2 linked regions of the Caenorhabditis elegans genome follow. The protein of the gene in region 2 interacts with the protein of the main gene of each other region in a pairwise test. Each region holds a gene or a part of one and is shown on either strand. Other genes may lie near its edges.

The links.
Region 1: the proteins of gldi-10 (region 2) and ZK1055.7 interact in a two-hybrid assay, tested with the Caenorhabditis elegans proteins (one large-scale study listed by BioGRID).

The regions. Positions count from the first base shown.
Region 1 is NC_003283.11:6,603,469-6,607,399, forward strand, and holds the start of ZK1055.7 (Protein F37C4.5), read right to left. Parts: upstream 1,908-3,931; 5' UTR 1,906-1,907; coding exon 1,765-1,905; intron 1,721-1,764; coding exon 1,601-1,720; intron 1,556-1,600; coding exon 1,321-1,555; intron 1,268-1,320; coding exon 1,159-1,267; intron 703-1,158; coding exon 48-702; intron 1-47. Other genes in the region: gon-14 (HAT C-terminal dimerization domain-containing protein), read right to left, coding at 3,335-3,437.
Region 2 is NC_003282.8:9,097,470-9,101,400, reverse strand, and holds the start of gldi-10 (AMP-activated protein kinase glycogen-binding domain-containing protein), read right to left. Parts: upstream 2,160-3,931; 5' UTR 2,031-2,159; coding exon 2,024-2,030; intron 1,972-2,023; coding exon 1,860-1,971; intron 1,484-1,859; coding exon 1,394-1,483; intron 1,346-1,393; coding exon 851-1,345; intron 764-850; coding exon 616-763; intron 567-615; coding exon 441-566; intron 394-440; coding exon 162-393; intron 95-161; coding exon 1-94. Other genes in the region: cpna-3 (VWFA domain-containing protein), read right to left, coding at 2,327-2,434, 2,481-2,558, 2,609-2,771, 2,817-2,944, 2,991-3,237, 3,457-3,560, 3,608-3,931.

The sequences.
Region 1 (3,931 bases), on a different chromosome or scaffold from region 2:
GCAACTTAATTTGTTTTAAATCAATTTTCTCAACAAAAAAATCTTACTGTTGCGACAAATGCATTATTCAGATAGACAGATGAAAATCCAGCCAGGAGTGCAAGTTGAGAAGTATTAACAGCAGAAGCCGTGAGAAAAGCTGCAGCATTCTTACTTGGAACGGATTCATGAACAAGTTTTGGTGTAAGAGTCACAACTCCAATAGTAACTTTGTGTTCATCAGTACCGTGTGGAATTGTTGCTTCTCTGAGAATTTTAAATTCTGTGCTCAACGTGTTTTGGGTGATTTCTGAAGCAACAGCGACAGCCATTGGTGGAGCCAAAGTCACTTCATCTGAAAATCCGAGTGTTTCGGCTCGACGGTTCTGCGGTCCCCGCGCCCCAAATAATGAGGCTGATGCATTCATCGATCTTGTTTGATAATGTTGAACTTCAGGACGACGGAAGGTTGCTTCGAGAGTTCCAAGATCTGGAATTCTGCCAGCAAGACATGGCTGAGCAGTTGACAAAACAAGTGGTGCAGAAGTCCAATCTTCCTTTGTGAATTGACGGATTTTTCCAAAGTATGTAATGCTCATGGATGGTTTCTCTGTGTCAACTCGGATATCGTATGATGGATGCCACGAAGCATCTAACACTTGATAGACTACATTCAGCTCAGCTTCCAGGTCTTCTGTGCATTCCAAAGTAATTGTGGCAGTGCTAAAATTAAGTTATCAATTTGTTGGGAAGATAGGCAAACAGTGATCTTAAATACTACAGCTTAACAATGTCAAACAATAAGACTCAAAAAATAAATTGTTTCTAGAAATAGATGGAAAATCATATGGAACTTTTCTTTATAATATTTCGAATTTTTATTAGGGTTGGATGCTTTTTTGCATATCTTCAAATCTATCTGTAATCCCATTTGTATTTGAAAATAAATAGTGCATAGAAAGCAAAGCATAGCTCATTGTGCGCCTCAAATTTTTATGGGTTTTTTGATAGTTTTTCAAATTTTTTAAATGATTCAAAATTTGGTATGTTGCCAAAAGTTTGAGTTAAGATTAAGAAAGATTTGAAAAGACATATAAAGTTGTTTTTGCCCCATTTTTAGTATATTTTGGTAAATTCCCCGACTGGCACAATTCCACCTTAAACTTTTCAAAAACTCACTGAGAGAACGCTTCTTCATTCAAATTGTGCATTAGAGCTCGTAACTCGTTTTCCAGTTTCGAAACTTTTTCCTGTTGCTCACGGTGTCCAGCTTCAACTGATCGTAGTTCTAGAAAAAAAAATTAAGTTTTTTAAAATCTCAAATTTATCGTTTAAACTCACTTTCTCTGTATAATTCGGAGTTGCTCCCATAGAATTGGAAGAAATTTGTAAGACTTTCCAAAGTTCCTTCATTTAAAGAAGCAACACCATCTTTTGGTGGATTCACGAGACCCCCACCAACTTGTTCGAAAACTTTGTCCAAATTGTCAACGCATTTTTGGACAACCGTTCCGCGATCTGTGATTTTTTGGAGGCGATTTTTCTCCTCTAGAATGGCAGCTTTGAGATTGGTGATCTTAAAAAAAAGAATATATTTTCGAATTTTAATTATCTTGCCAACCTTTGGAGGATCAGCTTCAGTTGGCAAACGAGAAACATTCTTAATAACTACATCATGAATGATTGCATTTCCTCTTCCTTCAACTCTAATTGATCCTTGAGCCATTGTTTTGCAGAGGTTCTAAATTCAAAACTACTTGAAAAACTTGTTCATATTCTACAAACCTTGAGAACAACTTCATTGACACCAGATTTCAATGAAACTTTGACAAGACGACGGATTTCAGCTCTATCAGTGAATACTTTCACCTCGGCAATTTTAAGATCACGAGTCTCGAACTCGTGGACAGATGGGTTGGTGGTCATTTCTGAAAATGACTCTTTTTAAGAGGTGTGTATTTTCAAATATTAGGAATTCTAAAATAACGAAAGTATATATCACGAATTGTTGTTAATCATTAATATCGCTGCATTTCTAAGAATATATAGATTTACGGACGGTGATACAATCTTAATGTTTACTGTAGAAAATCTGGCTTGAAGTTAATTTATTCAACATATTGGTTTGGTATTTTTCTAACTGGTCGTACATTTCTACATTAAATGAACCAATGCATGAAATTTGAAGCTTGTAGCGATCACTATAGCTGAGATCGTGGCGAGACCTACACAGAAAAATAGTGTGCGCCTTTAAACTGAATTTTAAAATTTCAACGAATATACGATATACGCATGAGAGATTATAGCAGTAGTTGTCTAAAGACAAAGATATTTTTAAAAAACATCTGTATTTTGTAAATATTATTAATGTCATATTTGACGCGCAATATATCTCGTAGTGAAAACTACAGTAATTCTTTAAAGGACTACTGTAGCGCCTGTGTCGATTTACGGGATCATTTTGACTTATCATGTAGATATAATTTATCATATTAAGCAAAAATGAGAAAATAATACGAAGAAACGAAGAAAAATAGAGTATCGCTATTTATCACTATTCGAGAATAAATACGTTTCAAAAGTCGAGCCCGTAAACCGACACCACAGCTACTGTAGTTATTTAAAGAGTTACTGTAGCCTTCGCTACGAGATATTTTGCGCGTCAGATAGTCAGATAGCGCATTACGCATTTTCATAATTTTGTGTTGTAATAAATTCAGAAACATTATATAAACTGAAATAACACACTGAAATTTCCAAAACTAAAAAACGTAAAGTTGAATATTCAAAACTTTTCGAAAAGAAACGCGACGAGATGACTAAATTTCATAACGTTGATATCAGTAAAACCTTCAAATCATTTCAAAGAGAGGAAACTCTCTATTTATACCAAAGAGACAGAAAATGTTTCGCAATGTGTTTGTGCTGACTCATTGGAGACTTAGATGCAGAAAGGAAAACGCGATAGGATAATTTTTTTTTTTTTTTTTTCACATAATAATTCACAAATTTTCGAAACGTTTTTTTTCTCCCAAAAATATGAAATACCAGTCAGAGGGTATGCAAAGTTTCTTGCTGGGTCAACAATTCAGAAATGTCAAGGTGAGTTGGGAATACAGAAAAAAAGAAATGATAAGATACTCTTCAGAAAAATTGAGAAAAATAACATGATTGAGAACTATTAAACAGAACAGGGAAGTAAACTGGTCGATGAGAAAAGAAAACGTTAGCATAGTCAATTTGAAACAACATGCGGATATATCGAAACAAGTAGCATAACAAAAACAAAACAATGAAAATACCAACTAGTGACAAATAACTAAAGTGAATTGAGGTACAGATGTATGAGCTGGGATTATTGTGGAGGTTGATGTAGCTGATGGGTAACACCAGTTTTTGTACGAATGAAATACATCTTTTTCGATGCAGTCAGAGGAGTGTTTAAGTTGAAGGAGACTCTGAAAAGTTGAATATATTTAATTTAGGTTAATAATGGTATCAGCAGAAAGGATGTAATTTTATTTTAAAAAATCGAACATTTTGTTTTTCGATCTTTTGGAAAACATTTCATTTTTATGAATAATGTCATTTCTCTGATTTGAGAGATAAATCTATACATACTTTCCTCGTATTTTTTTTGAATAAAATTTTATTTCCAAAAAAAAACAACCGAACAACTTTTTCTATTTTCTATGAGAAATACCGGAAAATCGAACATTTTATGGCGACACCTTTGATACAAGGATGTCGGTTGTTTGATTTCTCACTAAAATTAAAAACCAAAAATTGTTTAATTTTTGAAAAATCGAAAACTTTCAATTTTCTGATATTTCGAAATTTTTTTTTGATTTTTCAAAAAATAGCTCAAAATTCTTAATAATTTCACTGCTTTTTAGAAAATATTCATGTTTTATTATGCTTTCTCATCAACGTAAACATTGATTTAAAAAAA
Region 2 (3,931 bases):
TCGTCTGTCCAACGGAACAACACCTTCTGTTGTCCACCTTTGACAAGGATGCTTCCACTGCATTCATTTTCAGATTCAGCAAATAAATGTGAATCTGGAAAAAAGACAATGAATCAAAAGCAAATTGTCTAAACCGTTCTATGGTGAAAAAAAGAACTGACCATCAATAACAATATCAGCATCTTGCTCATTTCCAACAGTCTGCTTTGCTCCTAGGTTTGGCTCACAGTGAGATGATGTTTCCGAGGCTTCTTGAACATCAGTCTCAATAAACGATGGTTCAATTTCAGCTAAACTAGACATGAGACTTTCTGTAACCATTGACATTTCCGAAAGATTCTCATCGGAAGTGGCTTCCAAAATATTAGAATCTCCAAGTTGGGCTTGGATAATCTAAAAAATCACGTCTCTGCATCAAAAAGTGAAAATGAATAACGAACATCTTGAATTTTCCCAAAAAAATCATTCGAAATACCGTGAAGATCCATTCCAGAGTCTTGCGGAGAAATGGCATCACATGCACCAGCATCCGTTCTATCTTCATCAAGATTTCTGCATCCAGCAATCTAAATTTAAACTCAGAAATGTATTTATAATTTAAAATATTGTGAATACCTGTTTCAAAACCCGTTCATTAATTTGATCACATTCCGAGTGTGAAGAGTTTGGAGCATTTGCAATATTCGAATCATCAGATCCAGTTGATTTACGATTCGATGGTTGAGTACTGTCAGTGTGGACATTTGGAGATGGTGCCATGGTTCTGAAGTTGAGAATTTCAAGGATTATTTGAAACTAAAACATATTAAAATATACAATACATAAAGCCTGTTGAAAAAGACAAACTTACGGTCGAATATTAAAATTGGAAGAAGCATCAAATTGAACTTCATCAAGTGTCATTGTCTGTGGACTCTTTTTAGTTTCTTTTTTAATTTTTTCCTTTCCACTTTCTTTCACTTTTTTGTCTTTTTCTAAACTTCCATTTATCTTTTTTCCTTTCTCTCCAATACAATGATCTCTATCCAATAAAATATCTTCTTCCGAATTCAAATTCGGCACGGCTACAGTACCCTCTGGAATAGTTTTTGGAATAACTGGTCGAATGAACACACAATTGACTGGCTCATTCATCGGAACTTTTTGACGAATCACATCCGGAGTTTTTGGAGTTTGAGGCGAAGATTTCTTGGATCCCATGTTTGTTGGTGATAGACATCTTGGAGTGGATACAGTACTCTGTTGCGGATCTTGGAGCATTGAAAGCATGAGTTTTCGAATTGAACGGTATCCAGCTTCAAGTGTGTAATAGAGACTCATAACTACAATGAGAACTGCAATTATTCTGAAAATTTTCAAGAATGGATAATTGATTGATCATGTAATAACTCACATTCCAACCATCGAATACCATGGTCGCTCCTCACTTCGCTCATACACGACAATGTGCGGAGCATCAGCAAAATGAAACATTTCAGAAATTCTGTAAAGATTCAAAATACGGATCAGTTCTCAAAAAGCAATTCAAAATAATACAGAGATATTACAGAAATTTTCGGATTTTCCACAAAAGTACGGTAGCCGGTCTCGACGCGACAAAATTTTGCTAACAACAGTAAGTTCAAGAGGAGTGTGCCTTTAAAGATAAGAGTACTGTAATTATTCGTCTAATTGCATATGAAAAATTAATAAAAGACGCAGCAACGAAGATCGGAAATTACAGTAATCTTTAAAGGTGCACATTATTTTGCCTCAAACATAAATGTGGTCGTGTCGAGACCGAGTACCGTTTTTGTGGAATGATATTTGCAAAATTTGGCATCTAGGTAATATTTTAATCGCAGATCACGAAAACTGACCTAGTTTTGAATGTTTTCTTCGCATAAGTGCATCCGAGAATCCACTGGAAAACCTTTTTAACTTCAGCTAAACCAAACCCAGAACTTCCGGATTCTTCGCTCTTTTCATTACCTGAACATTTACAAATGATTAAATCAAACTGGCAGCTTTCTGAAATGCTCACCAAACATGATATCGACCGTTTCTTTTTATTGGAAATGATGAGGAAAATGAGTACAACAAACCAGCGGATAAAATGTGAGAAATAAATGAATTCTATGAAAAATTGAACAATCTATGAAAAAAGCAAACATGATTAAAACCCGTGATTGAATAGGGGGAATTATAGGTTACTGGGTTACGTACATCTATATATATAATTTGAGCGTTACGAATTTTGGCACAAAATACATGAAAAATGATGAAAATTGCAAGAAAACAAAAATACAAATAGGAGAAGTGCAAGAAAATTTCGGATACATTTGTTTTATTTCGGATCAAAATGGAACATCCGTTTCCACTGAGCCATTTGAATCGGGATCATTGCTAACACATCACTAGATTCTAGGTCCGACGGATCTACGTAGCTATAGTTCTGAAAATATTGATTTTTGATCGGTCAGTTTGAAAAAGAGAGTTACCTGTCGCACGAGAAGCCGTCCGTCGGAATGTTTCAATGTCAGTTTCTCAAGATTTCGCATCGGACTGTGATCTCGATCCTAAAAATTAGTTGTTAGGATGTTTCCCAGATTAAAAAAAAGTATCTAACCTGTCCCATTCCAACTCCGATAATACTCATTGGATGAGGCGATGCATCAACTATTGCATCAATTGATCTTTTCATGTTAAGTGCATTGGCAGGGCCACCATCTGAATAGATGATTAGAACGAAGTAGAGACCAACATGACGACGAGATTCAGCTTTTGCGAATCTGAATACAAATTTTACATATCAACTGAAATCTCGCATAACTTACTTTGACATAAAATAAATAACTTCTGAAAAATCTGTTGGTGCAAATGGTTGAAGACCCATAACTGCAGTTCTATAAGCACTTAGCAGTCCTCCCAAACCTTCTACACGTGGATCAGTTGGAGTTCCATTCTGTAAAACATTTAATATATGGATTATTGCTTCAACAAATACTTACTAAACAAAAACAGTGTGATAACTGAAGAGCACCTCCAGGAACTTGAACTTTTGCACCGAACCCAAGAGCTCCAATATGAGGATTCTGAGGATTTGGAAGATAAGCAAGAAGTGGGGGAACTGTTTGAAGAAGTGCTTCGAGATATGGAGATGGTTGATGAGGATGGATGTAATGAAGAGAAGATTGGTTTACAGGATTTCCATTTGATGCAGTCAAATCGATGGCAGACGTTAATTGAATCTTCACACTGAAAATTAAATACTTATTACAACGAAAAAAAAAGTTTGAAAATACATTAATTGGTTTTTTGTACATTTTATTTGTTCAGCTTAAGTATGTCAATTTTATAAATATAAAATTGAATATAAAGCAAAGTGTAAATTTTCAAAGTGTAATTGTAAATTTAAGCATGAAAACTATTGTTATGAACCGGAAAGTGTTCCATTCCAAAACCAGTTTTTCTTACTTATTTTCCATCATTTGAAAAAATGTCGGACCATTTTCCAAGCTCAATTCTTTCAATTCGATGCAAGTCTTTTCATGAATTCGTTTCCCATTAGGCTCCATCAGCTGAAAAACTGTTAATTAATAAATATATTTTAAACAAAAAATCATACCATGTAAGAATTAAAATGCCCAACACCTTGTTGTAGTTGTGTGAGAGTAGTTGTACAGTGTCCAACGAGTTGATCATCATGATTTGGTGTGTAATTATATACATGAAGTTGAATCGATGATTCATTAAAATAATTAAGCAGAAACAGAGGAATACTAAATGCCGCCCATTCTGGATATTTTGTTTCTCTCAACATTTCCGATTTGTACAACATAATTGTCCGTTCTTCAGTGGGAATTGAGAGAATGTAATACAGTTGAAGTGGAATAACATCCGAAGGACTGTGCAAATAATTTCCAGAAAACCTAATGCGGAGAAACTGGGA